4 linked regions of the Arabidopsis thaliana genome follow. The protein of the gene in region 1 interacts with the protein of each later gene in a pairwise test. Each region holds a gene or a part of one and is shown in the gene's direction. Other genes may lie near its edges. The genes, in order: RBL15, AT3G10260, VAP27-1 and BTI3.

Region 1 (9,013 bases):
TAGCAATCTTACCAGTAGAAAAAGGGTTGTTTACTGTCACAGTGGAGCCAAGCATGATAATAGAATTGCAGATTGTGGCCATATCGATGTCGAGGATCAATCTGTTAAGCTAGAAAATTAAGATCACATGGCTTTACACAAAACTTATAGCCACAGAGAAAGACAAATTGTAAAAGAATATTCTTACTGCCTCAAGCCAGTGCTGCAAAGCCAACTTCCTAGCTTTCTCGTCCTTTGATAAGCCTTTACCAACCTTAGGGATAAAAATGGTCAAATCATTATATAAAGACTGGAGCAATGGGAACGAAAACGGGTGCATCAAACCAACATAGTTGATAGGCTTGATGTTACCTTAGCAGCTCTTGTTCTTGCTCTAGACCAGCGTGAAACTGCAGTCTCTTGCTTCTCAATTTCAAAAAACGATATAGAACTTCTTTTAAGTTCAGCAAAGTCAAGTACCTTCCACCTGCAAATTCCATTTAGTTACTACTAAACAGATAATTTTATCCTCTCTATATATACCAATGCCAATAATCATAACACCACGAACCATCTTTGCTCAACGACTACAGCACAATCAGCTAGCCTTCTTCTGGTTCGAAAACTTCTATAAACTTTCTGTAACTTTAATGCAGCTTGATATGTTCCATCACCTAATAACAAGGCTAAAAATTCTTTTGCATGTTCGTTTTCGCAAACAGGTTTCCATATCCGCATTTTATATCTATCATCTTCTTTCATAAAAGTTAAAGGTTTAATAGAGAAATTGTTCTCCACATCTCCTGGAGAAATTCTTGATCGTTGTGTCCCTTTACCGCTAAGGGATCTGTTGTATAGCGTCTTTCTAGCTTCAGGTGATTCAGTTATGGTTGAATCCGAGTCAATGTCATTAAAACTGATTGATCGAAGAATGGTCTTTGTCTCTGCACAATCAATACAAATATGCCTCAGATCAAAATGCCTTCAAATAAACGTTCATAGAAGTTGTCACAAATACTAACCCATTTTCACTTGAAACCAGATTCAAGCAGTTCCTTATTATGTCCTGAAAATGTCAAATATCCAAATTCCATCATTGAGACATTACATCGAATCACCAAAAACATAGAAAGGGTGAAGAAGAAGAAGCAGAACCTGGAAGTCAAACAAAACCCATGAGACGAAATGAAACAGAGAAGAGATTCTTTTAATGGAAGAAAACAACAGAGCCAAAAAGGAAATGAGGAGGCTTTGAATGGGTCTAGGATTAGATGGGAACGTGAGAGAGAACGATAATGGCGGCCATTTCTGATTTAAGAGATTCTCATGAAATCTCAATCTCTCAATGATGCAAATCTGTTCCATTGGCTGGGAGAAAAATAGAGTCCTCTGTTCCACGATCGCTCTGTTATTTTTGTTGGCTCCTCCTCAGTTTATCCTAATTTTGGCGTCAATGTTTCGCTTTTAAAACTAGGTCCCTATAAAAATTCAAACTTCCTATGTTAACCCAGAAAATAAAACATTATCAATTTGACCCAAACAAAAATCATAAGAAAATCTTCAATTTTTAATAATTTCCCTAAAGTACCATTAAAAAAAATCACAGAAGCTAATTATGGGATTTCTACTGTTTTCTAATTCATAACAATATATACTGTAAATAGTTTACCAATCAAAGACACTAAAAACAATTCATGTCTTCAATAGAAAACATTCAAAAGTTGGGGACTTTTTATGAAAATTCTGTATAAACGCAAGCAGAACCAAAGCCCTAGCCCTCTCTAATTCGCTGTGTCCGTTAAGTCCTCTCTTTTCCGAAGGATCTGACTTTATCCCGGAATTCTGACGCCGAAGCTTAAATGGAAAAAGAAGATGAGCTCCAGAAGTTAAACGGTCAAGTTTCAGCTCCACGAGACGGAGATGTAGAAGATGACGATCCACTAGTGTTGAGTTCTCAAGCTTTGGCGGCGCTTCGGGAATTTCTAGCAGACCAGAACAAGACTGTTGCGAGCACGCCACCGGCGTCTTCCGTCGCCGGAGGAGAAGAATCCGATAAAGTGGAGCTGGTTACGGAGGATTGGAGACTCAGCCAGTTCTGGTACGAACCTGAAACTGCAGAGACTGTAGCAGATGAAGTGGTCACTCTCTCTCAAAGAATTCCAGGCTGCAGAGTCGCTTGCATTGCTTGCCCTACTCTCTACGTTTATCTCAAGGTACTATTAATCAGTTTTGTTCAGTACCCTTAATTTGTATCGAATCCGTTTTGCTAAAAATCGATACTTTTGTTGTCGTTGATGCTAAATTTCTGTGCGACGGGTTTTGATTTGTGCTGAGTCAGAAAAGAGATCCTAGTCTTCAGGTGCAATTGCTGGAGTACGATATGAGATTCGAGAGATATGGAAAAGAGTTCACTTTCTATGATTACAACGAACCAGAAGATCTGCCGCTTCAGCTGAAACATTGCTTCCATATAATCGTTGCAGATCCTCCCTACTTGGTAAAGTTTCTTCAAGTTCTTAACTTTTCCGATGCTGTTCTTTCATGGGAATTTTGGAAATCTTTTAGCTGCCCCTTGATAGATAGGTTTAGAGACTGATGTGTAATCTGCTCTGAACTTCTGACATTCAAGAAGCTTCTGCTAGATAGGCATTGCTTATAAATTAATCTTCTTTTAAAAGATTATAGAAAGTCCAAAAGCAGACAAGATGAAAGAAAAAAAGTGTAAGCTTTACAATGGAGTATCAGTTGGTTATGGTCATGGCTTAGTGTCACTTCTTAAAGATGGATACTTTGTGGCTCTCTGCTGCGTTTTGATTATCATTTGAAATATTTCCCGGGTAGGAGTATTTGTGACTTGTGAGGATATCATTAATCTGTGATGTTTTTGTGTGCTATATTGCTTGCTATCTTCAAAGCATAAATGTCTTTGAGTACCTTCTAGTTAGCGTGTTAATGATCTTGATTCGTTTATGCTTGGCAGAGTAGGGAATGCCTGGAAAGAGTTAGTCAAACAATTTTGTTCCTCGCAAGCCCAGTAGATTCATTGTTGCTTCTTCTCACAGGTACAATGGGTACTTTTGTTTTCTCAAGTCAAATTTATATGATCTTATGATTTATTAACTAGGAGATATCTCACGTCTTGCAGGAGAGGTGCAAAGAGAACATGCAGCTGAGCTATTGGGTGTTCGCCCTTGTGTGTTTAAGCCTCATCACTCTAGCAAACTCGGAAACGAGTTCCGACTGTTTATAAGTTATGATCCAGGTACCAGATTAGGAGGCTTGGAAGAAGACAGCTAGTTGTGACTTGCTTGTAAGTTGCTTCTCTAAAGTCTTTTGACTGTTCTTGAGTAAACCAGTGATTGTTCTTTTACCCTTCTGATCACAAAAAGCAATGTGCTTAAATCCATCTCACGCGTTCACGTCATCCCCTTTTGCTGTTCATGTAGTTGCTGTTAATTTCTTATGACGATGCGCCTTAACCAATCTCAGGTGTCTGGCATTTCAAGCCCTTATCCTCTAGCAGCGGAGGAACATTTGTGGCAGGGAACACTCATCGGCTCATGTGTGTTGGATATTTTTCATCAATGTTCTCTTGGTGACCTCACTTTGTTCAATCGTTCTCTGTATCTTGTTGCAACCGCAGATCTCAAGTCTGATATACTTTTACATTATTATCAAAATCTCAACATATTTACCAAAATGATTTATTGCATCATGAATCAACATGACATACGGAATTAGCTCATCACAAAAAATTATTCAATCCGTTGCAACTTTATAATTTGCGAGGAAGAGATGAAATATTGATGTTTGCTCTCAGCGAATAAAAAGTTTTTGGTCCGACCCGGTTCTACAAACTTTACCAGAATCAAAGTGCTAAACCGGGCGAAGAAGTTAAGATCTCGAGAAGAGTCTTTTACGGTGGGAGAGAAACGAGAGTTGTTCGTCTTCTTCCATGGTCATTGAAATTCAAACACACGCAAGCATCAGAGAAGAGGACTGATTCGCGACTTCGATTATGAGGCCGAACATTGTTACCGAGGTGAGATCTGTTCAATTTTCTGCTCTGATTGCTTATATTCCTTGATCTTAGTCAGAAATTGTTGAGGTTTTAGCTTGTTTAATTACCGAGAAACTCCTAGTGAGAACGAGCTATGGCTGATAGCAGAAATCAGTACGACCGTCTCTTAATTCGGTAGAGTTAACTAATTAGCAGTTCAATTCGGCATAACTTCAGTTTCATGGCCAATCGTTCGTTGTAGAAAGTAGAAACATTCTCTTCATAAAATAGGTTATAGCAGCCTCTGTTTGTGTTGTTTCATTAGTTCTTCAAGTTTTAGGTATAATAATACAATTTCACCATTCTATTATACAACTGTGACTCTGGATCATACTTTTGTTTGAAGATTTCTGAAATTATTCATAAGGTTGAATATTATTAGAAGGTTTCTATGTCCAACCAAGTAGATAATCGGCACAATGTTTAGATATAAGCCTATAAACTGGTAAAGGTCTTGTTTCTGGTTAGTTATGTATTCTTTATTTTCTCATAGGCTGGGGTTCAAACTCGAGTTGGACAGTGGTGGAATGCCATACCTTTCCTCACGTCATCGGTGGTGGTAGTTTGTGGGGTCATTTACCTGATATGCCTCTTAACTGGATATGACACTTTTTATGAAGTATGCTTCTTACCCTCGGCAATCATATCGAGGTTCCAAGGTATGTTCTCATATTTATTGAGGCTTGCATGTCATGTAGAAGATATTCCTATTGGCACTAAAACTTACATTTCCAAAGTTATTTCGTCTTGCAAACTGGTAATTTTAAATTCAGATGCCTGAGCTGTCCTGATTTTTTTTGTTTCCTCTTGTTCACTCGTTTCTCGTTATCTGTGCAGTTTATAGGTTTTATACAGCCATTATTTTCCATGGATCACTGCTTCATGTTCTGTTCAACATGATGGCATTGGTTCCTATGGGCTCTGAGCTGGAGAGAATCATGGGATCTGTCCGTTTGCTTTACCTAACAGTTTTGCTGGCAACGACCAATGCCGTATTGCATCTTCTTATAGCATCCTTGGCGGGATATAATCCCTTCTACCAATATGATCATCTCATGAATGAATGCGCCATTGGATTTTCTGGAATCTTGTTTTCTATGATTGTCATAGAGACAAGTCTCAGTGGAGTTACCTCTAGAAGGTAAGAATTTTCAAGGGCTACTTAAATGATTTAGACTCTGGAAGATCAAAGTGCAAGTAAATATGAGCTTCTTGTTAGAATTCAGATACATTCTCTCCAAACATGTTAATGCTACACATGTCTGTACACATATTAATAAGATATGCGTTTAATGTCCTCTGAATGTGGGCTATTTTTTGCCAACTCTTTGTATTCATGAAGCATCTCATATTTCTTCATTTGCTACTTTATTTCTCTGTGCAGTGTGTTTGGTCTCTTCAACGTTCCCGCTAAACTGTAAGCTCCATTGTCTTGCTTGTTGGCATCTTAATGCCCACCTGCATTTCTTGTTGCTCATATGATGTAAAAGTTTGTATCCATGTGTAGGTATCCGTGGATCTTACTAATAGTATTCCAGCTTCTCATGACAAATGTTTCACTGCTTGGGCATCTATGCGGCATCCTGTCTGGATTTTCATGTATGATTATTGACCTTTTTCATTGTCATCTTCTTTCTAAACCTGCATTTTCATGGGGAGCTAATTTGTTAGTCGCTTTGGATTTCAGATTCTTATGGCCTCTTCAATTTCTTGATGCCTGGCTCTTCATTTTTTACCACCATTGAGTCAGCCTCCTGGATGGTAAGTACTAAGTACTTAAGAAGATCTGGCTTCTTGATGTTTCCTTTTCTTTGTTAATTGAGAGGCCATCGAGGATTTAAAACTCATGCAGATCTGGCTTCTTGATGTTGCTCTCTGAGTTAATCGTAACTCATCCAGTTTCTATGTCCTCTTCCAGTCTAGCTTCATTAGGCGACCCAAGTTCATTATGTGTACTGGCGGGAATCCTTCCAGCTATATTCCCACTTATTCTGCACAAAACACAACATCCAGGTGTGGTTTCCTAAGAACATATGAAAAACTGGACTGTTTGCCCAGAGAATATCCTAACGACATTTTTTCTTTGACCAGTGGTTTCTCTACAGGAAATGCTTGGAGATCCTTGTCTTCATGGTTGCCACAGAGGGAAGCATCTAATCAGGTACGTTCATGCTAATCTTGTTAGTTTCTTTTCTTTACCATGGTGGATGCATTCACATCTAACCATATTACTTCACATGCAGTCTTCTGAGGACAGTAGATTTCCGGGGAGAGGTAGAACTCTTAGCACTGCCCGAGATCCTACTGCTCCAGCTGGAGAAACAGACCCAAACCTCCATGCTAGACTGCTGGAAGATAGCAGCTCTCCAGACCGCCTTTCTGATGCAACTGTCAACACCGTGGCAGATTCAAGGTATTTGATTTCTTCAGCTTATGATTTATCAGCTTATTACGCCATTCTTCAACCTCACCCTCATGTCTCACCGTGTGTAGACAAGCGCCAATAGCTAATGCAGCAGTCCTGCCCCAATCCCAGGTTACTTTTCTTCTCTAAGATATTCGGCTCAGACCCAGACCCTTGTACAGCTTCTAGAAGCTTTTCTCTTATTGAGCTGTTAAAACACAGGGTCGTGTTGCTGCTTCCGAAGAACAAATCCAGAAACTCGTAGCCATGGGCTTTGACAGGGTACGTTTCTTGCTTCATACCAACGTTAACTAAAACAATAGTAAATAGATGGCTTAAAGTCTCTGGATTTTCTTCAGACACAAGTGGAAGTGGCGCTTGCTGCTGCCGACGATGATCTCACCGTAGCAGTGGAGATCCTAATGAGCCAACAGGTATAAACTTTTCCGAACTAGAGTTCTATTAACTCATTTTTAGAGTTTAGGCACTACTAACAACGAAACCACTGTGATCAAACTTGCAGGCTTAACACCAACAACTCGCAAAGTACTGTTTTGGCTTGTATTGTAACGTTTGTTTCTCATTCTGTCTTTTACTTGCATTTAGAAACTGTATAGCGTCTGTTTTCTTTAAGGAGGTTCTTTAACCAGACGATCAAACCGATTTTCCGGTTTAGAATCTAATACAAACGAAAGATCAGTTGAAATTTTCTTTTTTTGCAAAATCTCTCTACGTAGAACTTTACTTTGCAAAAGTAAACTTGTTTATTGGCGGCACACTTTTTTTTCTTCTCTACGGAGTACAAACGGAATGAAACAGAAGCTATTATAACATGGTTTCCTTCCTCACTTGCTCTTGTGTTCCTTCGTGTTACTAGTTGAGGTTTCTCTAGGCGGTCGCACAATGAGAATTGGACATTTTGCATGTTGGGCACAGTAGTCACTTACACTCCCTAAAAATGCCCTGTATATCTCAAACACCAGGAATGAATGAATAGTCACAACCAGAAATCTCAATTTGTTGTTAGACCTTAGACCAAAAATGAAACTTGTACCTTTTGATCATGCCGAGTCCACGGCTACCAACAACAAGAAGATCAACATGTGTTTGCTCGACGGCTTGGCATATCATCTCCTTAGGATCTCCTTCCAATATCATAGTCTCTGTCTTCACCTACAACATAAAACCATAAACTCAAGAGACAGAGAAGATCACTGATAAACCTAAACTCTTATGAAACCTTGATAAACCTAAACTGAAAGTAAACTTCATAGACCCTAAACTTATTGTATTTTTGAAATTTTTTCCAAACTTGTAGTATGTTGAAAGTTGAAACTAGACATGTCTTGATGGTAATTTTTAGGAAATTATTTCACACATATAGCGCACCATTTTGCCTCGGCATATCTCCAATGCCCGTGTGAATAAGTTTGTCGTACTCTCTTCTCGTGCTTTCCTCATTGGTTCGGGCACTGAATCTGTCGCATACACCGCCGAAGCTAAGAATTTCCAAACTCACTCAATATTGTATACAGTCACATCCCATATAATATATATATACGCATAGAGAATAAAAGAAAGAGAGAAGCGTTTTTTTCTTCACCAGTTCCACCAGAAGGATAGATATATTGAAGGTACGTTGGGTGAACATGAAGCAACGTAAGTAAACCGCCTTCTTGACCGGTTTCCGGTTCGGCACTAATAACAACTCTGAGATGATCCACAGCCCATTCCAACGCATCGAAGCTGTTCTTGCTCTCATCAATCGCAACCATCACTTTCAACTTCTTCTTGTTCTTATTTGCAGCCGTCTCCGCCGTCGTTGTTGTGGCTGCCGTGTCCTCTCCAATCGCATCAACGTAAGTCTCCATTTTTTACTCCGTACGTTTTCTCTATCGTATGTTTTTTTTGTTCGGCTCCAGCCACTTTTTGATATGTATAATAATTTAGATCGTACCATACGTTACGTAATGCTAGTGTGTGATTGAGTAGGTGGAAGATGAAGAGTGTTAACAGATGTTTAAGATGGATACTGGATTGACACGTCACCTGTGTCATAGACACGTGTCTTTCTTTCAACATAGACAACTGTTTATTTTGAATATCCAGAAAAGGCTTTTGGTTTAGAATCGAGTTTGGTTCAATTTTACGGTTTCGTTCTGCTCAGAAAAAGATAAACCCAAAACGAACCGATTTAAATTCGGTTTGAATTAGCTTAAATCAAGTTTTGAGAAGGCAGAGTTGTCAGCCTCTAGAATCTCTATGTCTTTCAATGATCTTGTTTGCTGAGTGTTCTAAGTCATATTTGGTGTTCTGATATCTTATTTTCCACAATGGTTTCAAAAGAACAGGTCCTCTTGTGGTAAGTATATATTGACTAGATGGTCGGTCTATCAAAGTTTCGGATAACAACAAGTTTGGTTCAATTACCGTAACAAACTTATTTTGGAAATAACCTAGTTCGGTTTAGTTTGAATCAATTTTTATTTTGGATCAGGTATGGTTTGGTTTATCTCGGGTCTGTGAAATATGGAAAGCTTATTATTTTTCCTTTCTTATAAGTTTATATA
Region 2 (6,949 bases), about 18 Mb from region 1:
TCAGGAAAAGGATATTAGCTTAAGTGGGGAACATGTTAGGGAAGGATTGACCTGCATTGTCTCAGTCAAGGTTCCGAACCCTGAGTTTGAAGGTCAAACAAAGGTACTAGGGAGCATAATGATATGTTGACCCTCATTTTTGTCAACAATCTCTGGTCAGCAGGCCATAAGTTTTCTTGGATTCTGTTGATCATTTTAATTTTTTTGTGTCCCAAAGACAAGACTAGGAAATCCAGAGGTGAGAAAAATTGTTGACCAATCAGTCCAGGAGTACCTCACGGAGTACTTGGAATTGCATCCGGATGTACTTGAAAGCATTATTTCCAAATCCTTGAATGCGTACAAGGTGCGACATTGAAATACCTGCTCATACTGTCACATCTTCACCTACACACACATGCACTCAAACACTCAAACATGTGTTTTATCCCTTGAGAAGCATTTTCTGATATCTGTGATTAGCGTATTCTTTGATTGAGTATGTGTCTCCTACAGTATGTCTAGTTACTAACTTCAACCAAATGACCATGGATTTTCCTTGCTGACTCTTTCTTTTTAGGCTGCTCTGGCTGCCAAGAGGGCTAGGGAGTTGGTAAGATCAAAAAGCGTTTTGAAGTCATCCTCACTTCCTGGGAAACTTGCAGATTGCTCATCTACAGATCCTGCAGAATCTGGTATGCATTAACCAATATGAAAGTGCCTTGTAAGCTGTGAAAGTTAGTCAGTTTATTGACATCTATCTCCTATGCTACCAGAGATTTTCATTGTCGAAGGAGATTCGGCTGGTGGCAGCGCGAAACAGGGTCGTGACAGGCGTTTCCAGGTAAAAAAAATCATTCTGCTCAGCGTGTCACTAACAGGCTCTGCTTCTATTTTGTTAGTCTGTAACACTGTATTTCGATCTATGCAGGCAATTCTTCCTTTGAGAGGCAAAATTTTGAATATTGAGAGAAAGGATGAAGCAGCAATGTATAAGAACGAAGAAATTCAAAATCTTATTCTTGGCCTTGGTCTTGGAGTTAAGGTAATATATCCTTTTTCATATCCTGCTGTTTGTTGGTATGTTCGGAAAACTCAGTTTGACATAAAACTTATTTCAGGGAGAAGATTTTAACAAGGAGAATCTGCGTTACCATAAAATTATCATCTTAACAGATGCAGATGTTGATGGTGCACATATCCGGACACTTCTGTTGACCTTTTTCTTCAGATATCAGGTACTAGTTTAGTTTGATAAAACATTAGTTGAAGTAGCCTTGATTGCTGATTGAGTTATGTGAAATTTAATGAAATTTACTTTCTACAGAGAGCCTTGTTTGACGCGGGTTGCATATACGTTGGTGTTCCACCTCTTTTCAAGGTAAGCTCTTAGTATCTATAATCTTATGCTTCAGATTGAACGGAATTTTTTTCTAAAGCTAGTCTCTCTGTGAAAACGATCAGGTTGAGAGGGGGAAACAGGCGCACTACTGCTACGATGATGCAGCTCTTAAAAAAATCACTGCTTCGTTCCCTGGAAACGCATCCTACAACATTCAGAGGTTCAAAGGTAAAACATCCTACTTCTCACATCATGAATGTGTTCTTTTGGAAAGGATAAATAACTATGAAAAGTAATGTATAGTAGTTGTTATGTGTTAGCTATTAAGATACTCTTGAGTGTGTGCATAACGAAATCTAGATTAGTCTCAACTATTGGATTCTATGTAATGTTTCTTGCTTTTGCATCTGCAGGTTTGGGTGAGATGATGCCTGCGCAGCTATGGGAAACAACGATGAATCCAGATACAAGGATATTGAAGCAACTAGTTGTTGACGACGCAGCAGAAACGAATATGGTCTTCTCATCTCTGATGGGTGCTCGGGTAAGCCAATGAATTGCCAGACTCGGACTCATGATAATAGTCAATAAACTGGCATAACTCATCGTGACAATGTTATGTTCTGTGTATGTTTCAGGTCGATGTCAGGAAGGAACTCATCAAAAGTGCTGCGACTAGGATGAATCTGGAGAATCTCGACATATAACACAGCTTATAGTTATTGCTTCAGCTATATACAAACAACAAAGAAACGACTCTGGTGAAATGCAAAGGGAGACATCATCATTTCAAGGTTAAATCATATAGTCACAGGCCAACAGGATTTTGTTCTTCTTCTGGCCTATAAAGGACAAAATTCATTGTTAGGATTATCTCTTTCAATGTCAAAATTTAGCAATTCACAAGGCTCTTTGTTGGGCGTTTCTTTCCATTGGAACTAGAATTTTTCTAGAGACAAGAGAAATTTGCATTCACTAGGTATTTACTATATATTATGACTTCAACAATTTGGCATTCCTGAAAATCATGCATGCGACGAAGTTAAAACTAATGATTAGAAGGAAGATGAGAAGGTAACTATTGTGCAATGAATATCTTCTCTGCCTGTTGTATTGATTTTAATTGTATTCGAGGTTAAGTTTTGACTGATGTTTTACTAGCGATCGCAGAGTGATCGATAATTAACAAGTTTATTTTTCGATTTGGTAGGTATATAGTGAATTAAACATGATTTTTGTTCTTCCTGAACAACCTAAAGCAGTGTTATGAACGCATCACGCATGTAACAACCAGTCAACCATATTAGTGTGACTTTAATTCATTGAATAAATGAAATTTTTTTATTTTCAACAAGGCTTGTAACGGTTGATAAATCTACTCAGAAAACTTCTTTTTGTTTGTCTTGCAAATACAAACGATACGTTTCAACTCTTTTTTTGGCGTCCAATAATACTTCTTAAAAAATAATTTGTTTATTGTCATGAGCTACACGTGGGAAGACAAGTCCTATCCATTATTACTACACACTACTCCAACATTTGCCCACATTTTGAAAAAAACATTTTTTTGTAATTCAATTATTCGACACAACCAATCCCATCTCTTGTTTCACTTCCGCCCTCCATCTTTCTTCGTGATTGAGAGAATCTTCAACGAAAGAAAGCAACTTTTTTTGGGTGAAATTCACAGAACAACCAAGGTTTTTCTTCTTCTTCTTCTTCTCCAGTTCCTACAGGTTTACTCTTACTCATCTTCATCTTTGTCTCGTTCTTGCTCTTCAATTTCTGGTCTTTTTGTTGTTCTTGTCTTCTCGCCAAATATACTAAGATCTAAGTTTTATATCATTGTAATTATCACCAACGAACTGTTAAGACCAAATTTGATTACTCGAAATGGTTTTGGGTTTAGGGTATGAAGAACTGATCAAAAGATTCAATTTTTTATGAAGTCAACTTTCATCTGCAAATTGAGCAATCTCAGATTTCGATTGTGTTTCAGAATCATGCCTGACAAGAACATCGTAGAGGACGTTATCGGTGATTTGGTGGATAACTTCACGGAGACTGTTCAGAAGAACAAACATGGTTCCTCCTTCTTCGAACAAGAAGATTCCGTCAGTTCTCGTTTCAACCGTTTGTTTGATCGCCAGAAGCCAATTCATCATGTCTTAGGCGGTGGCAAATGTAAGAATTCGTATACAGGAACATAAATATGAGATTGGTTTTTCTTGTAATTGAGTATTGAGAGATTCCTTCAGCTGCTGATGTGTTGTTATGGAGGAACAAGAAGATCTCTGCAAGTGTTTTGATGGGAGCTACCGCAATTTGGGTGCTTTTTGAATGGATCAATTTCCATTTCCTGTCTCTCGTTTGCTATGCCCTCTTGCTTGGTATGATTGCACAATTCGTTTGGTCTAACGCCTCTGGATTCTTAAACCGGTAACTTGTTGGAGTGTTGTTGTCATTATTATTGGTACCTTGTGATTGCAATCTAACACAATGTCCTTTAATGTCTCAAAGCAGCTCACAGTCTAGAGTGCCTCGCCTAGTTCTTCCAAAGGATTTCTTTGCTGAAGTCGGTGTGGCCGTTGGAAAAGAAGTTAACCGCGGTTTGTTGTTTCTTCAGGACTTGGCTTGTAAAGGGAATTTGAAACAGTTCCTCATGGTGCGTTGTTTGTTTCAATAACCACAATCTTGTTTGTATAATGTATTAGCACTTTCATTACTATGCTAAGATAGAAACTTTGATCACAATATCATTTTTCAGGCTGTAATCGGACTATGGGTAGCTGCAATGGTCGGGAGCTGTTGCAATTTCCTAACTGTTTTGTATATCGGTGAGTGGTTCTTATTAGTGTATCCTCTTTTGAGATTGGAAGTTGAGTAATACAAGACTTTAAAGGGATGCATTTTATGTGTGTGTGTGAAGGGTTTGTTGGGGCACACACAATGCCGGTTCTGTATGAGAGATACGAAGACGAAGTGGATGGTTTTATGGATTCTATGATCATGAAGTTTCATAGTCATTACAAGAAGCTTGATACTGGGTTTCTCAGTAGAATCCCAAGTGGAAAGTTTGGATTAAAGAAGCGTGAGTGACTAAATCACTCAAGCATTTTCTTATTTTACCTTGTTTGTTGTTAGAACAATATGGATTATGGTTTGCTAAATGAATGTTTTGAGAATATTATTCATTCATGTAGATTTTGTGTATTTCCTTACTAAACAATACCTTGTCCATGTATTTGTCAATACCTTGGTTAATAAGAGAATCATCATATCTGTCAAAATTATACAAGTAGATTGAGAGTTCATTAACTCAATGTCTAAAAATGTAAGACTTAAAACAAGTTTGAATCAAAATTATTTCACAAATCAAAAGTATGGTTTTCTTATTTCGTAAGAATCGTTGACTAATATTGACCGGCTGGCTAATAAGAAGATCAGATAACTCTACAGGTATGGGATCCACCATTGTCAAACATTTTACACGTGTCAGCTTCCTGAGCTTCGAAGCCTGAATGTTAAAATTAAAAAATTTAAAAGAAAGAAATATAAAAAGAAGTAAATCAAAGAAAATGGAGTAAAGAAATTGATCCACGATCGATCAACAAAGTGAGGTTAGGTTCCATCTCCACCTCTTTCTCTCTCGAATCTTCTCCGATTAAAGGTGCTCTTTTGCTTATGAAATTTGTGTTTCTTAAGCTAATCGAATTTGTTTTCTTGATCGTTTTGATGTTCTTTTTTTTTTTTGTTATTGTTGTTGATTTGATGTGATCCGGTTGTATTTGAAGACGAAATCGATTCGAAGTGTTGAGGTTTAGTTTGGGGTAAAATAGATGATTCTCAATCTGTTCTTATTTGTGAATTATTTTGTATTTCTGATTCTCTGTTTTTTTCTGTTTTTTTTTGTTTTTTTTTGGATTTGAAACCTAGAGAAAGAACCTTGTTTCATTAGTGGGAGATAAAAACCTCTAATGATTTGATATAAATTTTTGAACTTGTACAGATTCGAATCGATTTCCCTTGTACCCTCTCTTAATACTGGTTCTTGCCTGACAGGAACAAGGTCTGGTTTACAAAAGTCTCATAGATGTCGAGTGGAACAGTGAGAAGGGTTTCACGTCAAGATATACAACTGGTAATAACAACAAAAATAGATCATGATGAAGGAAGGCCTTTGGTTTCATTGTCTGAATCTGCGACAATTTGAATTCGTCCTCTTCCAACTCAATAAAACTTACTTTTGGTTTCAGGTTCAAAACCTTATAGAACGATGCCTTCAACTTTACATGAATCAGAAAGAAGTTGTGGATACTTTACTAGAGCAGGCTAAAATCGAGCCTGGGTTCACAGAACTAGGTAGCCACTCAAATACTCTGTTTTCTTTTCATAGAAATTAGCATCTGATTCTGTAATCCTTGTTCATTGATGAATCTGGATTCATTACTGTGAATGAAAAGGTATTAATATATCTATTACCAGTTCAGGACATCTGTAGCCAAAATCATGTGTGAATGATTTTGTTGTTGCTTAAAACTGAAATCTTATGTATTGTTTGGTTCAAGTGTCACCAAGAAGGTCTTATTGGTCAGAACCTAGTTAGGAAGTGCTCAATAGATCATGAAATATGAGAGAATATGTATAGTAGTGAGTATCGATGATAAAAAATGGGGATTTATGATAACACGCTTTCTTTTTATGTTTAAAAGTTTGGCAGAAGCTTGAAGAAGAGAATCGGGAGTTTTTCAAAGCTTACTATCTTAGGCTAATGGTTAAACACCAGATAATGGAATTCAACAAGTTGCTTGAGCAGCAGGTTCACCACATGCGTCAGATGCATCCAACTGGTGTTGCTTCTGTCCAAAACACAAATGGTTCTCATCTTCAATCAAGTAAGATTCGTTTGGAGTGAGATGGATTTTAATTTCTGCATTTTAGGGTCTCTTTATTGCTTGTATACTTTTGCTATGAATTGTTGTTCAAGTGTTGTAGTAAACAGTCCTCATATGCATTGTCTTGTTTTCTGGCTTCCACTTTTGCTGCCTTAGTTCTTTTCAAGGTTTCTTTTTCCTGTGAACATTATGTGTTTGTTGTTTTCCTTAGATTAGTCATTCATTCAAGTCGCTAACTGATGAGTATTAAATAGCTAATCTATGTGATTTTCTTAACAGTGAATCAGAAACAATTATGCTATCCCTCTGAGCACACTGACCAATCTTTGAAGTCTGAAAGTGCACATCATCCAATGGCTTCTAGTCTGTCTAATGCATTCCTCAATGGCTCTTCCACACTCAATACAAACGTGCCCTCTTCTATAAACATATCAACCCATGCTAGGAGAGTTGATGCTTCTCCAAATATGCTCTCATCGCAGACCACAAACATGCCTATGATGCAAGGAATGAATGGAGGAATGATCAAGTCTGAGACTGCCTTTACAAACCCTGCTTCATTCATGTATGGTGGCGAACGGAATGCCCTCGAAGGACATTCGGCAGTTGGGGATACTTCGATTCCTAATTTCAGTAACGAGTCCAACAACCAACCCCTCAGTGATCCGCTTCTTGAAGCAGAAGCTTCTACTTTTGGGTTCTTAGGTCAAATTCCTCGTAACTTTAGCCTCTC
Region 3 (8,054 bases), 780 kb from region 1:
CAAAACCCGGAAATTGTTTTTAGATTTACTGTGAATTTACAATCTTGTTTTCACTTAGCAACCAATGATATTGCATGAAAGGACGGATAACCACAAAGTAACTAGATAAAAGAATTAAAAGAAAAAATAACAAATTAGAATCAGGCAACAAATATTTTGTGACCTAAAATGGGTTTAAACTATGACTATAAGCTATCGTTTTCTTTCTCTTAATTTTTTTAATATAATTTGTTTGTAATCTTACATTATATTATTTAAAACTGATAACAGAGAAAGAAGAAAACAAAGGAGACAAATCACATTGGGTGTGGTTTAAAACAGAGAAGCACAACGAAAAGATGTTTGGTTGGGGCGTGATTAAAGTGTCTCTCTGACTCAATGCACCAGTTTCAGCTTCAAGTCTTCTTCATTTAATTTTATTTTTCTAGTTAAATGTTTTCGACTTCTCCTTTTTTTGTTTGATTTTCCTAACTTCAGTTTGTTTGATTTAATGAAAAAAGAAACCTCTAATAATGACTCACTAAAGACAACCACCGTTATCTCTCAACAAGTCAACATAGAAAAAGTTTCAATACAAGATTCTATTTGGAAAACCAACTCGTTTGTTAGAAATTTACATTAGTTATCGAGAACAAATGTATATATATATATATATATATATTAATTTGAAAAAGAAAAAAAAAAAAAACAGTGACTCCCACGTAATACGCTAAAGCTTAAATGGTCAACTGATTCATAAAGTAACTTTCAAGAACATTAACCGCTTTGAATTACGACTTACATTGTGACTCAAATAACTGAATCAATTGATTAATGGATAACGTGTACATGCTTTAATACTTGGACCAGTTAAAATTCTAGTAGATACGATCAGTGACATGAAATGATAAAAGTTTTCAAAATGAAAAAAAAACGACAACAAAATAACAGAAGTGGCAAGAAAAAGGTCTGTAATATACTAATATAGGTAAAAAGATAGAGATACCAAACGGTATTAATTTTTTCTGATAAACAAAATATGTGGTACATTATGGATACGATAAAAAAAAAAGTCATCATCAATCAAAAAAAAAAAAAAAGTTTAATGAACAGTCAACTAAATCGGACAGCTCTCTAATATATACTTTTACCTGTCTTATTGTTCCCATACCCCAAACTAGACTAATTAGAACTTGTTTTAATAGTAAAATTCAAGTTTTTGTCTTGCAGTTTTCTTTCGAGTCTCAAGTTCAAAAGGACTAAAACGGAGGAAAAGATGCATGCTTCTCAAAATTCCGTCTCTGTCCTGTTTTCTTGAAGTCACGTCTCAACTCTCAAAGTCTCCTTTCCCAAACCCTAAATTCTTAGTGTACCAAGCGCAAAATCGTTTCAAAATACCCTTTTTGTAATAAAAAAAAAATGTATGCATAAATGAAAAATAAAATAATACAAAATCATGAATTAAATCATAGTAAGAGATTCCAAATTAAAAGAAAACAAAAACTCATAAGTAACTTTTTACATGATCCATTCTGATTGTAAATCTCGATTATGAATTAGTGCAATACAAAAGTTGGTAGCCAAACAAATGGTTTCAATAAGTCTGGTTTTTGGATAGTGTCGTGACTTGGTAAAGTAACATTTCACTAGATTTGCTTGTCCGAAGCCAATGAGAATGACTCACTTTTACATTTCTGTTCACACCATCATTATTATCAAAATCTCGTTATCATTGTTACTACCATTCCATACGTACCTTTAATCCATACGACCAAAATAATGCATAAACTCCCTGCAGGGACAAAGAGACGTCGGAAAGTACGAGATTAGACCACTCCAACTGCCAAAAGAACTACGCGGGCTAAGACGTTTCATTTGGCAGTGACAAAAACAACGTCAACGGTGAACAGTGCCACCATGGCCATCGTCTTAGCTTTTTGAAGACACGTAAATCCTCCTTATCAAAAATTATAACAAAATATAAACATAAGCTACCGATCTATAGTGGGCTTTTTAAAAAGGATGGGCCGACTATTCAAGTTATCAACACGTCGTCGTATAATCATAGTAGCTCTTTGTATTTTTGTTCCGGACATGATTATCTTAGTATCCAAACACGTCACATTCAAGTTTATTCTAAAGATTTTTCTCTCCGGAGACGTTAAGAGAAGAAACAGCCAACGGATTAGGGATCTTACCGTTCTGCGATTCGCCGGTGAGTGTTTTTATTTTATTTTTCCGATTTCATATCGGCTTCTTACTCTTTAATTCGATTTCCTTATATGTTATCGTGATTACCTTCCCGAGAATTCATGGTAAAATTGATCGGTATATATTTTGATAATCGACTTCAATTTGGTTTATCCCTCCTTATGCTTAATTGCTTCACTTACCGGTTTTGATTCTGACTTGTATTGATTTGATATCGATTATCCGGTTTAGTAGCTTCAAGTGTTTCCCCTGTGTCCATGTATCGTCTTGGTCCTGATGATTTTGAAATGTTCTGTTTTGTTTGTTTATGTTAAGAACAGAGTTTGAAGCTTTTTTTAGAGACTTCAATGGTGAGCCAAGGAATGGTATCTCTTACAAAGTCTCTATGCACTATGACTCCAAGAGTCCGTCTCAAGAATCCGAATATGTTGCAGAAACTAAAGACTGGATCTTGTAATTTCCGTTTCAGAAATCTCCGTGTCTTATGCACACCAAAGCTGTCTCAGTGGGAACCGTCACCTTTCATTCATGCTTCTGCAGAAGAAGCTGCTGATATAGTATTGGACAAAACCGCGAATGTGTTCGAATCTATTGTCTCCGAGAGTGCAGAGGAAGAGAAAGTAGATATGTCAGCGCAACAACGAACTAATTCTCAAGTTCAGGTACTTAAATGGCCAATATGGCTTTTGGGTCCATCTGTTCTCCTCACAAGCGGTATGGCGCCTACTTTATGGCTTCCGTTGTCATCGGTTTTTCTCGGTTCCAACGTGGTTAGTCTACTTTCTTTGATCGGTCTAGATTGCATTTTCAATCTTGGAGCAACCCTTTTCCTCTTAATGGCTGATTCTTGCGCACGTCCTAAAGACCCATCACAGTCCTGCAACAGCAAACCACCATTTAGCTATAAGTTCTGGAACATGTTTTCACTCATAATCGGGTTTCTAGTCCCAATGTTACTTCTCTTCGGATCCCAATCTGGCCTTCTCGCTTCTCTCCAGCCCCAGATTCCTTTCCTCTCGTCCGCTGTTATCCTCTTCCCGTACTTCATTCTCCTTGCTGTTCAGACATTAACAGAGATCCTCACATGGCACTGGCAATCACCGGTCTGGCTAGTCACACCAGTTGTCTACGAGGCTTACCGAATCTTGCAACTGATGAGAGGGTTGACACTTAGTGCAGAGGTCAACGCACCGGTTTGGGTGGTTCATATGCTTCGTGGGCTTGTCTCTTGGTGGGTATTGATCTTGGGAATGCAACTCATGAGAGTTGCTTGGTTTGCTGGTTTTGCATCTAGAACAACAACAGGTCAGCAACCACAATCTGTTGCTTCTAAGTAAAGACAGATAAATGTTTCTTCGTTTAGTTTTTAAAGTCATGTCAAAGATTTGTAACTCTTTCTTCACTGTATAGCTTTTATTATTCGTGGGTTGGTGATAAGGATTAAAAAAAAACACATATTCTTTATGATCATATTCGCTCTTTTAGTTAGGTATGTGATGTTATTCATTTCAATATTAAAGGCTGATAGGTTGACGTTAAGGTTGAGAATATGCAAAGGTTGACACAGATTCCTGTCAAAGAAAGACATTTAAGAATTTACGAAAAATGATGAAAATGTTTCTCTTAAGAAAGTAGAGCATAATGTCGAATAAGACTAGTTTATATGGTTTTGTATTTTTACTAAGTCATGTCAGAAAGAAGAAGAAAAATATATGTACTGTGTTATAGCCTTATAAGTAATAGGTTTTTGCATTTGGTGAGTACTTGGTAACAGTAAAAAAAAGAAAGTTATACGTTACGTTGTGAAATATGATCAGATTATAATGTATATTCTTTACTTTAGTTGAATTGTTGTTGTTGTAATTCATCTCCACGCGTTTGCGATTAGGGCGCGTTTGCGTTTTTATCAATTTTAAATGAATTGACAGTATTACCCTTGAGAAATGAACAAGACAAATAGCGATGTCCCACTCTATTCATTAGCTCTGTCTAATCTCTCTCGATCGACGACTGCTCTCTCTCTGAACCGGAGACGGTGTCACGGGACGAATCTAATCGCCGGGAAACCGTTTTTTTTTTCTCTCGGAAAATCGATTTGAATCTCCGGCGATCTGATCGGGATGAGTAACATCGATCTGATTGGGATGAGTAACCGCGATCTGATCGGGATGAGTAACAGCGAGCTTCTCACCGTCGAGCCTCTCGATCTTCAATTCCCTTGTAAGCTTTATTCATAACTCTTTCAATATTTCGCATGTCTTATTGCCCCAGATCTATGTGTTAAGCTTCTTCTCTGATTTGATGTAGTTGAATTGAAGAAGCAGATCTCTTGCTCTCTCTATTTGACGAACAAGACCGACAATAATGTTGCCTTTAAGGTTATAATTCTCTTATTTAGCCTTATCAATTTTGGAATCGAGAAAAATTGTTTCGTGTTTCTGAGGCTTCTCGTGATGATTTAGGTTAAGACGACGAATCCGAAAAAGTATTGTGTTAGGCCTAATACTGGAGTTGTTCTCCCGAGGTCTACTTGCGAAGTTCTTGGTCTGTTCTCGATTTGTGTTTTTTTTTGTTAATTTCGATTTGCTAAATTGGTTATTGGATTAGGGAATTTGATGAATTCTTAATGTCTGGTTTGATATAGTGACCATGCAAGCTCAAAAGGAAGCTCCTTCCGATATGCAGTGCAAGGACAAGTTTCTGCTTCAAGGTGTGATAGCTAGTCCTGGTGTCACAGCCAAGGAAGTTACTCCTGAGATGGTATATTATTATATGGATGGTTACAGTTTTCATATGGATGGTTACAGTTTGGTGTTGGTTTTACTTAAAAGCAGTATTTTTCTTGTTTCTTGTAATGAAATTTTGCAGTTTAGCAAAGAGGCTGGACATCGAGTTGAGGAAACTAAACTGAGAGTTACTTATGTTGCTCCACCACGACCACCATCACCGGTTCACGAAGGATCTGAAGAGGGTTCTTCACCCAGGGCTTCTGTCTCAGATAATGGACATGGTTCTGAATTTTCGGTTAGTACATGTTAACTTAAGTTTAGATTTCAGTTTCTCTGGTAGACATATTTATATGTAGATTTTCATGTTTAATTTTAGTTTGAGAGATTTATCGTGGACAACAAGGCTGGACATCAAGAAAACACATCTGAGGTATTTTTCACAATTCTTCCAAGTTTGTCACCGTCAAAACCATGTGACATCATCTTTTGCTTTTGCTCTGTTTAAAACTGATTTTTGGAGGTAGCTTTACTGGAAAGTTGCCTTTTAGGCTGATTTACTAGGTTGAGAATCTTTCTTTATGTTGATTACTTAAAAGGTTCACTACATTTTTAGAAGCCTGTCCAGTGCTCAAGCCGTCCATTAATTGTCTTTTTGTGCACCAAATCCTCGTAGATGTTATTTTGACACAGTTACCACTTACTATACACTATTTTGCTTCAGTCATTCTACATTATTTCTATTACCGCTGAATTTTGTATGATTTCAGGCGAGGGCACTCATTACCAAGCTAACCGAAGAAAAACAGTCTGCCATTCAACTGAACAACAGACTTCAAAGAGAACTGGTAAAACAACTCTCACTTGGATCCTTTATTATCTCTGAATCTCCTCCATGCTCTTGTTACTTTGATGATTAGCAATCTGTAGCGTTTGTAGTGTTTTTCCATGGTTTTGAGAAGGTATGCTTAAAGTCATCATTTGTTTTTGTGAAGAGATGCTTTAACTTATCTTTTGCATTGGCTTCTGTTTCCATGGTTGACTTATCTCACCATACCATTAATCAAAACCAGTCTTGTATGAATATTCCACAAGCTTAGTTTAGAATCTTGAGATTGTTTATCTGACAAAGATTTTGGTTTGATGTGGCAGGATCAGTTAAGGCGTGAAAGCAAAAAGAGCCAAAGTGGTGGTATCCCATTCATGTACGTTCTTTTGGTCGGACTCATCGGTCTAATTTTGGGATACATTATGAAGAGGACATAAACCACCCACCTTGAAATTAATCCCTCACCCGCCACGAAGGAAAAAAAAAAGACTTTTAACTCTTTTCAGTCGGACATTTTTTTCTCTTCTGTATTTGTCAATTTCGCCTTAAAAAGGTGTCCTAGAAGATTTGTGTTTCGTAACTCAGTTTGCTATGTTTTTTTCAACTTTTGTAATCCAAATGACTTTGCGTTGGTTCTTTCTCCACTAATTCTCTTATATTTCTTAACTTCATTTTCCATCTCAAACCTTCCTCCGTGTCTGCATTAGTCAGTGTATGTATATGTTTGTTCCAAATGCTTTTCTCTTCCTTTACCACATAATTTCTTACATCAATATTGAACAGAGATGAACTACAACGGCAATGTTTCATGCTTATGTTTTTTACTGATGAGGAAAGAAAGAGCTAAATCATGTGCAACTTTTAGTATCTTCTTCTAGTTTCCATCTAAGAACCATGGACTTGGACAACGAATAGACCAACAAGACTCGGTTCTCCATTACCCTGTTGCATCTTCTTGGTTTACTATTCATTTGTCCTAGTCTGGTCCATACACCCGACGTGCTACACAAATAAAACTTGAAGCAAAGAAAGATACTAAATGGGAGAAACTACAAGAGAAAAGAGCGAGAAATAGAAACTACCTGGATCAGATAGCAGCGCTAAGAAGAAGAAATTTTGGAGAATTGATCAAAGATTATAGATAAAACAAATTTACGTTTTTATATGTGTTGAGAGTATAACGATGAGACTATTTCTCTCTGTTTCTTGTTTCTCTGGTTTGTTTATGATGATGATCGATGATACTAAAACGATGAGAGTACATCTATATTTTTATTTTCGTTTCAAAAAGTGATTCAAAGACTGATCAAACAAACAATGTCTTTTGTCTCTTTAGTGACCGAAGAAACCTTAAAACAGACATGAGATAGAGAAAGCAGTTTCTTTCCACCTTTGTATCATTTTTACACTTTTATTGCTCGGCTTTTCAACACTTGTAAGCTTGTATCTCTGTCTTGCATATTTTAGATCTTCTTCAGCTTCGAGAAGGTTCCTGACTCTGAGAAGTGCTTTGAGCCCCACTTCCTAATCCTAAAGCTTGCTGAGGATTGCACAACTCTATTCCCTGCATAGAAGTGAAAGCCAAGCTTGATGTCAAACCAGAGGTAGTTGCACCACCCGCATACTGCCTTTCTTTAAGCTTTTTGGCGACCTTGGCATTAATTTTAAGCTTGCTCTGAACACTGGATACTCGCAGCCTCTTGCTTCCTGCCTGTCCAAGCATTCCATAACCTTCTCCTAGTCCATCACCGAGGGAGCTCTCTTCAGGTGTACCAAAGGCCGTCCTGTTGGCCAGCTTCCTCATATCTGTTACTTGATACCTTGCTTTCAGTTTTCTTAGACGGCGACCACCCCTTCTTTTCTTCGGCTCAGAATGAGGAATAGGAAGTGGCTTAGGCTGCCTTGCAGGAGGAGGTTCTTGCCACTTGTCAATCTTCTTACGGATCTCCTCCCTGAAAGCTTTTCCACTTATCCCTAACGGATCCTCTCTAGTAGCATCAACTCTAGCTGCCAAAGTTGATTTTGCAGCCACGAGCCTGCCAGCGCGAGCCTCAAGTCCAGGAGGCGTGCTTTGGAAAATCTCTGTCTGCTCCAGATAACCCACACGGGACTGAGACGTTGCAGAAGAAAACCCAACAAGGTTCTTCCTCTTGTGGCCAAGAACTTGAACATTACAGGCAGGCATTTTAGCAAGTGCTGACAAACCTCCAGCTGTCCCCATGAGTTTGGCTGCAACAGCACTCCCAACAATGGCGGAAAGATTAGGAGCAATAGAACCCATCTTACTTTCAACAAACTCAAGGACCTTC
Region 4 (7,218 bases), on another chromosome or scaffold:
GTCCACATGCAGAATATTTATGAACTTTTGACGTGACCTATTGTGGACGGTGTCACGGTAGTGTAGTTGGTCCTACTCAATCTTAATAATATATATACTATAGTATTCGTAATATCTTCGTTCATACATATCTTCAATCGGCTAAAAACAAAACGTCTTCTACAAAATCGGCTAACATGTCTATCAGCGAAATTAATACTCAACATTCATTGTTCATTATTATCAACATATCGCCGACCTTAAGTACTATTTACAAACTATCACAATTCTAATGGTTGTAAGCAAATCGATCCGATACTTCGCTAGAGTGATCCGTAAGGACGACGAAAACTTCTTTCAATTTTTAAAGTATTTCTATATCATTTTGGTAAATTCCACCAAAAATTCACAACTCTTATAAATCATTTTGTTGTTGCTCCATTTATTGTTTTGTATCAATCAAGTATTTGGATGTTTTATAACTACAACCTAGAACTAATATCTACACAACTAATTTACAACTACAACGCTAACAAAACAGATTCATAAGTACAACTGTGAGACAGATTTAGTAGAGGTTTGATTCTTAATAATCTAAAATAAATGTGATATTGTAATTTTGAAGGATGATGTGTACAATGAATATAATGATCCATATTCTAAAACATATTCAAATAAGTTTATTCTAAATACTTTGTACATATATTTACCTTGGTACGATGCATGAGGAGGAGGGAGTTTCCATCTTTATCCATGAGGATGAGTTCCTCGGGTCGGGTTCGGGCATAATTATCGACCCGGTAAATCAAATCTCCATTCGAATCTATCACCGTGAATCCTTCACAACTCACCAGAAGCGATTTTCTCCACACCGTGAGTGTCGTACACGCTCCTCCAATATCTGCGGCAGCGACGGAGACTGTGGACTCTGTAGATGACGGTGCATCTTCACCGTGGACCGACCTCGACCGTTGCTTCAAGAAAGGGAACATTTTTGTAGTTTTGGTGTTCTTGGTTAACTATTTTAAGAGAGTTTTACAGATCTAATTAATCTCAATTCTCAATACAAATATGGTAAGGTTAGGTATACATATGAGATATATATATATAGATCTAATATATATGTGTGTGGATGAAAGATATTAGCTTTGTTATATTATATCATTGTCTTATTATATTATAATTTTTTTCTTCTTTATATCAACTTGCAAAGTTTTTAAATATCGCTACTTGATATTTAAATGCGACCACAAATAATACTTAGTGACAAAACTGTACTATTCTACAAAATATAAAAATAAGAATTTCACCTAAAAAGCTTTAAACGTTTTATTAATTATGAGTCAAAATTTTTAGTGTTATTTGAAAAATAATACAATATGATAAGATATTATACCATTCTATAAGTTAATTAGAATTTTTTTTAAGTTAATGAATACAGGTCATTAGATTTTTTTTTATCACATTACAAATACAAATTTAACGTACGTAACATTTACATTTAGTGGACTAGAACTCAAATCACCCTATTACAGCTTGCATATATAGTAAATTGTTTTTGTTTTATAAGTCCAAAAGGATTAGTCTAAATTACATTGTTTGGTTATCAAAGAAATTAAAATAAAAAATTAGATAAAATTAATCGAAAATGAAAACTTAACATGAAGGTTGAAATCTCCAAATTATTTACTCATCCTTTTTACCAAACTCAAATATGATATTTTTTTCTATACGTAAAACTCAAAATTGTATATACAAGAAATTTAGCTATCTAAAAATAACTATATAATAAGCCATTATAGTAAGCCACAATTTTGACCATCTACGATCTTTTCTTTTGTACGTAGTAAGGTTTGGTGCAAACTTTTGCAAGTAATTAGTATATAGCTCTTATGGATATGGTATATTCCTGATATGAACTCTGATTGGGTAATGATTAGCACTTAGCAAGGTAGTCAGATTTTTGGCTTTGGCACGCATGGGTTTCACTGTTTCAGGATTGAATTGGAATTTTTTTTTGATTAATTAATGTATAATATTTTATACAATATAAAAATATATTACTGTATTAGGTAAGAACTTTACGACAAAAAAAAAAAAATAGGTAAGAACTTTAAGATTATGCAAGGGTCTTAAAACGAGCCACGTAATCTTCTTAGACCCACGATAGTAGATTTTTGAGGTCTCCAAGAATCTCTTATCCTTTTTGTCATCGAATCTCTCTCTCTTTCTGAAGATATATTAAGAAACAAATCTCTCTTTTTCTTCGAAAAGGTTGGTTAGGTGAAGGACAATTCTCATCCACACGATTAGATGCATAAAATTATATATATAAGAAGAAAATCTAATTATATGAAATGGTGGAATTTCATGTCACACTAGACGACGAATCTTCCATATTAAACTCACTTCTAACACTGCATGTGTATGTAATTATGTATATGAATGAATATCCAAATAGAATAATATATTTGGACTAATCAAATTATTGGAAAAGTACATAAATAAATAAGTGAGCTTTCATTGTCAAACCTGATTTTGTTGATCTCTGGGTTTGCCATTACTCCAAAAAATCTTACCTTCAAGAGTGATGTCGACACAGTGGAGCACACGTGTTGTAACACGTGTCATGACTCAGCTCAAAATTGGATCCCACGGAAGAAGTTAGATCTCGAGGCCAAGAGACCAGAGTCATCAATTCAAACCCCACGTGCGTGAGAGTCACTGACTATTCTCCTCTTATCTTCCGGGTCTTCGAAATCCAATATCTCCAAAACGCAGCGTCTTGGTTAATTTTTGAGATGTCAATATATATAATCTGTGACCTTGTAATGTTTAATCAACAGGTGTATGATCATCTTTCATCTAGGAGCATTTTCATTCTATCAACATATTCTCATAACAATTTTACTATGCCTAACAATTTTTTATTTTTACTATGAAATGGATCAGTAATAAATGGGCCTTAATACTGTACCAACAATCCCATAAATGGGCCCAATGCTGGATCCTATCCGCCGACATCTAACGTTCCACTAACGGAGACGTTATCGGGAATATTCACATTAATTAACGACCGTTAGTTCCACGCCAAATATGTTACATCTGCTACAAAATAAATAGTTTGATTTTCCACCGTGGACGGTTACCTACTCGAGGCCCAGACCCGAATCAAACGGACTGGATTAAATGTTTTAAATCAAGGGGTGGGATTAAATCTGAAGCACACGCTTTTATTCGTCACAGTCTCCTCCCACACTCTTCAATCAGTAAAGAGTTTTAGGTTTTTTTTTCTTCTTCTCGGAGGTTTGTAGAATCAACAAAAATGGTGGAAGACCACAAGCACGAGGAATCGATCTTGGAGAAGATTGTTGAGAAGATCCATGGCCACGGTGACTCGTCTTCTCTGTCCGATTCCGACGACGATAAGAAATCTACATCGTCTTCGTCGTCGTCCTTCAAGTCAAAGATTTACCGACTTTTCGGAAGGGAGAAACCTGTTCACAAGGTTCTCGGTGGTGGAAAACGTATGGATCTATCTCTATTTCTTCACTTTGAACTCTGATTTTACTCGATTTTGTATCTTACATAGTGATTTTGCTCGATCTAGTGAATGTTGCTCTAATTTGAAGCTAAAATTGAGTGTATTTGAGTGCTTAATTGTCTGCTTTGCTCGAAAGTACGCTTAAATCTTGTGAAATACTCAGAAACTATGTTGAATCTGGATTCATTGTTTGCATGTAGCTGCTGATATATTCCTTTGGAGGAACAAGAAGGTATCTGGTGGAGTCTTGGGTGCTGTAACTGCGTCTTGGGTCTTATTCGAGTTATTCGAATACCATCTCCTCGCTTTTCTCTGTCACTTTGCGATTTTTGCTCTTGCAGCATTGTTCTTGTGGTCTAATGCTTGTACATTCATCCACAAGTATGTTCTTACAACATCCCTTATATGTTAAGTGTTAAGTATGAGATAACTGCCTGATCAACTGAGTTCTTATCCTCAGGTCAACTCCTCACATCCCGGAAGTTCACATCCCTGAAGATCCTATTCTTCAACTTGTTTCTGGATTAAGGATTGAAATCAATCGTGGTTTGACCCTTCTTAGGAACATTGCATCAGGAAAAGATGTCAAGAAATTTATCCTGGTATTGTTCATGTTATCTACCTCGATGCAAAGCGGTTTTCTTATGTTCCTCATAAATGCTAATACTTGCTTGCACATGTTTTAGGTAATTGCTGGCTTGTGGGTTTTGTCCATTATTGGCAGCTGCTACAACTTCTTGACATTGTTCTACACTGGTAACGATTCATTTACATCTTACTGCATTTAATCTGATAGGAATCATACTTGCATATCTTGATAACCAGCTTTTCTTTCTTGCTTCCAGCTACTGTCCTTCTCTTCACCATTCCTGTACTCTACGAGAAGTATGAGGACAAAGTAGATGCCTATGGGGAGAAGGCGATGAGGGAGATCAAAAAGCAATATGCAGTACTTGATGAGAAGGTATTGCGTAAGGTCATAAGCAAGATTCCAAGAGGAGCTCTGAACAAGAAGAAGGATTAAGGAATGTGAGTTACTCTCTCATTGGAATCGTAGTAATGGTTCAAGACATGTTTTGTTAGAAGCTGTTGGTTGATAAACCCTTTGATCTCTTGTTATTATTATGTTCATTATAAATTTGGGGGTTTTAACTAAAAATATTTAGATTATGAGAGAACACGGATGGATGATAATTATTGTTGTTAGTTATTTGTCTTAGTTAATTTCTCATCCTTTTAACAGCTCTCCATGATGGTATTCGTCATGTCAATTTTGCATCATGTCTGAGGATTGGTCCATACACATAAACTCAAATTGTTTCGTGGGTTTTTCGCTCTTCACTGCTACTGCGATCTAACTTTAGTTCATAAGAATCTTTCTTGTTTTTATTTGACTAATAATATTCTTCCCATTCCATCTCTTTCATCATCTCAACATCTTGTTCATAGGAAAAGCTAAAATGATTGGTATATGAACTAGGTTAAACGCAATTTGATAATTTTCCAAAAAAATTTGTTCATAATTCTTTTGCCAAAATTGCGATTTCACGATTTCTCGACAAAAATAATCACACAAAAAGTGGATTCCACAATACCAAACGCTTTCGGTATGATAACCATCAAATCTGGATAATTACTTAAAGTAAGCAACATACGTAAGGTAGACAACTAGGTGTTAATCACTATATATAGTTTGTAGTAGAAAACAATATCAAAAGTCAGGATGGCCGAGTGGTCTAAGGCGCCAGACTCAAGTTCTGGTCCTCGTAAGAGGGCGTGGGTTCAAACCCCACTTCTGACATTTCTGTTTTTAGTTTTATGTTCAATGACTGGATTTTTAAATTTATTATTTTTCCGATTAAAGTAGATAACTTTTTTTACAACAACCATTATTTTTTTTTTTGTCATCATTTAACCATTTACTTTCAAAAGCAAAAAAACTTAAAGATGAACAGTGACGACAAAAAAGAAAGAAAAGATGAAACAGTGAAAGCCAAGTACAGTCATTTTGATTAAACCGTATTCATTAACCAACTTTTCACTAACTATGGTAAACCAACCCCTGACCCGAACCGAACCGTTCTTGTTTTTAACCAATGATTCATTCAATCAGAGTCTTTATCCGTAGAAGTCAATACCTCCGTCTCAGCCGCACCCAAATCCGGAGCTATTCCGGTGCCGTTGTACTGCTGAATCACCAAAACCGATGCTTTTGTCGAAGATTCCGGCGAAATCAACAAGCTTCCTACAGGTCCAAGCTCCGGACATTCACTATTCTCCCTAATCGCCAATGCAATTTCTCCACCTGGCATTCTACCAACCAAAAACAAATTGCTCCGCCGCACTTCCTCAATCGCCGATCTAACATCCACGGCGGCGTTTTCAATCTGTTTCTCCACGAACTTAACCGATTCGTCCACCGAAGATATCTTCCTTATCTCAGACATAATCTCCTCATCCGATTTCAGATTCTTCACACTCTGATTCTCGTTGTTATTGTTACTCACTTCAACATTAACAATCTCTCCGACTCTCTCCGGCGATACCACAAATCGGAAAACAGTCAAAACAATTCCGGGATGCTCCGCCATACGTAATCCATAAGCCAACGCTTCACGATCATCAGGACCACCGAAGAACAGAACAACAACAGAGTAAGAAACATCTTGAGCTGAGACTTGACTTGAACCTCCGAGTCCACGGTCAACGAATATACCAACCGAACAAGGAGCTTGAAGCAAAACTCTCCGGTTAACCCAACGGTAATCGCCACGTGTAGTCTCTAACGAACCATCAAGCTGTTGATGCTTGTGAAACGGAAGAATCACAATGGCTGCTTTTTTTCTTACAGCTGTTGTGCAGATATCTTCATGAATATCAGACATTGAAGAGATTGCTGTCATTGGTCGGACATTGACTCTGCTTAGCTGTTGAAAAGCTTGGAAAGCAACTACTACTTGATCAGCGTCTGCGTTTACTCCTCTTCTGTTCCAAAACGGCATTCCGTTTTTCCGAACTTTATGAACCATTAGAATAGCTGATGATCTCTCTGATAGTTCCCGTAAGTGGAGAGCGTAAACGCAGAGCCCTTCGCCTTTTTCGATACCTCTTGATGCTTCTAGGAGGTTTATCATTGAAGGAATGCTTCCTGCTCCGTGGAAACATGTGAGGATTCGAAGCTGTGTGTTTGTGTTCTCTCGTTCTACTGCCCTGTGTTTGTATTCTCCTTCTTTCTTCGCTCTTCTCGCTGGTTTGTAGACTGCCATTACGACTGGTGTGGTGATGAAGGTTGTGAAGAGAGCCATTAGAACCATTATGGCAAATGTCTGATCATTAAGAACCTGAGGACACAACAAAAGAAAGATTTAAGTTATAAACTTTCATGACGCAAATTGTTAAGGATTTGAAAAAGTTATACCTTTCGATCTTTTCCGATGTTGAGGACGATGAGTTCGACCAATCCTTTAGTGTTCATGAGGAATCCTAATGTTATTGCTTCTCGCATAGGTATCTTGAAGGCGAGGGAAACACCGAGAGTGCCCAATATCTTACCGAAACAAGCTGTGGCGGTGACTAAAACCAGAAGACCCCAAGACTGAGCTCCTTGGATCGTTGCCACATTAGTTTTCAGACCACTTGCCACAAAGTAAAGCGGCAGGAAGAGACCGGATACAAGATCTTCCACCTTCTCAACT

The links.
Region 2: the proteins of RBL15 (region 1) and AT3G10260 interact in a two-hybrid assay, tested with the Arabidopsis thaliana proteins (one large-scale study listed by BioGRID).
Region 3: the proteins of RBL15 (region 1) and VAP27-1 interact in a two-hybrid assay, tested with the Arabidopsis thaliana proteins (one large-scale study listed by BioGRID).
Region 4: the proteins of RBL15 (region 1) and BTI3 interact in a two-hybrid assay, tested with the Arabidopsis thaliana proteins (one large-scale study listed by BioGRID).

Annotation. Positions count from the first base shown.
Region 1 is NC_003074.8:21,621,333-21,630,345, reverse strand, and holds RBL15 (RHOMBOID-like protein 15), read left to right. Parts: upstream 1-3,644; 5' UTR 3,645-3,703; coding exon 3,704-3,745; exon of another isoform or gene 3,746-3,873; coding exon 3,874-3,924; exon of another isoform or gene 3,925-3,997; coding exon of another isoform or gene 3,998-4,021; intron 4,022-4,532; coding exon 4,533-4,698; intron 4,699-4,876; coding exon 4,877-5,180; intron 5,181-5,423; coding exon 5,424-5,456; intron 5,457-5,546; coding exon 5,547-5,638; intron 5,639-5,726; coding exon 5,727-5,800; intron 5,801-5,957; coding exon 5,958-6,052; intron 6,053-6,130; coding exon 6,131-6,200; intron 6,201-6,282; coding exon 6,283-6,452; intron 6,453-6,532; coding exon 6,533-6,575; intron 6,576-6,665; coding exon 6,666-6,725; intron 6,726-6,802; coding exon 6,803-6,877; intron 6,878-6,966; coding exon 6,967-6,972; 3' UTR 6,973-7,144; downstream 7,145-9,013. Other genes in the region: AT3G58480 (calmodulin-binding family protein), read right to left, coding at 13-101, 188-253, 352-466, 551-923, 1,002-1,005; AT3G58470 (nucleic acid binding / methyltransferase), read left to right, coding at 1,839-2,192, 2,318-2,476, 2,960-3,041, 3,125-3,276; AT3G58450 (Adenine nucleotide alpha hydrolases-like superfamily protein), read right to left, coding at 7,289-7,406, 7,498-7,616, 7,833-7,942, 8,047-8,314. UniProt on the Arabidopsis thaliana protein: Probable rhomboid-type serine protease that catalyzes intramembrane proteolysis. May function in senescence.
Region 2 is NC_003074.8:3,168,884-3,175,832, reverse strand, and holds AT3G10260 (Reticulon family protein), read left to right. Parts: upstream 1-2,840; 5' UTR 2,841-3,264; coding exon 3,265-3,505; intron 3,506-3,579; coding exon 3,580-3,760; intron 3,761-3,844; coding exon 3,845-3,986; intron 3,987-4,088; coding exon 4,089-4,158; intron 4,159-4,250; coding exon 4,251-4,420; 3' UTR 4,421-4,611; downstream 4,612-6,949. Other genes in the region: GYRB1 (DNA gyrase subunit B), read left to right, coding at 5-103, 218-346, 560-674, 756-823, 911-1,024, 1,101-1,217, 1,307-1,360, 1,444-1,549 and 2 more; AT3G10250 (histidine-tRNA ligase), read left to right, coding at 5,415-5,462, 5,578-5,683, 6,034-6,216, 6,496-6,949.
Region 3 is NC_003074.8:22,396,227-22,404,280, forward strand, and holds VAP27-1 (vesicle associated protein), read left to right. Parts: upstream 1-3,883; 5' UTR 3,884-4,310; coding exon 4,311-4,410; intron 4,411-4,497; coding exon 4,498-4,568; intron 4,569-4,652; coding exon 4,653-4,734; intron 4,735-4,834; coding exon 4,835-4,950; intron 4,951-5,058; coding exon 5,059-5,214; intron 5,215-5,275; coding exon of another isoform or gene 5,276-5,295; coding exon 5,296-5,349; coding exon of another isoform or gene 5,350-5,443; exon of another isoform or gene 5,444-5,686; coding exon 5,687-5,764; intron 5,765-6,068; coding exon 6,069-6,182; 3' UTR 6,183-6,498; downstream 6,499-8,054. Other genes in the region: AT3G60590 (cytochrome P450 family protein), read left to right, coding at 2,002-2,194, 2,506-3,527. UniProt on the Arabidopsis thaliana protein: Part of a membrane-cytoskeletal adapter complex that forms a bridge between the endoplasmic reticulum and the plasma membrane. Associates with microtubules.
Region 4 is NC_003076.8:16,632,926-16,640,143, forward strand, and holds BTI3 (VIRB2-interacting protein 3), read left to right. Parts: upstream 1-3,103; 5' UTR 3,104-3,304; coding exon 3,305-3,506; intron 3,507-3,723; coding exon 3,724-3,904; intron 3,905-3,983; coding exon 3,984-4,125; intron 4,126-4,209; coding exon 4,210-4,279; intron 4,280-4,368; coding exon 4,369-4,547; 3' UTR 4,548-4,983; downstream 4,984-7,218. Other genes in the region: AT5G41590 (LURP-one-like protein (DUF567)), read right to left, coding at 690-971; CHX18 (cation/H+ exchanger 18), read right to left, coding at 5,629-6,864, 6,942-7,218. UniProt on the Arabidopsis thaliana protein: Plays a role in the Agrobacterium-mediated plant transformation via its interaction with VirB2, the major component of the T-pilus.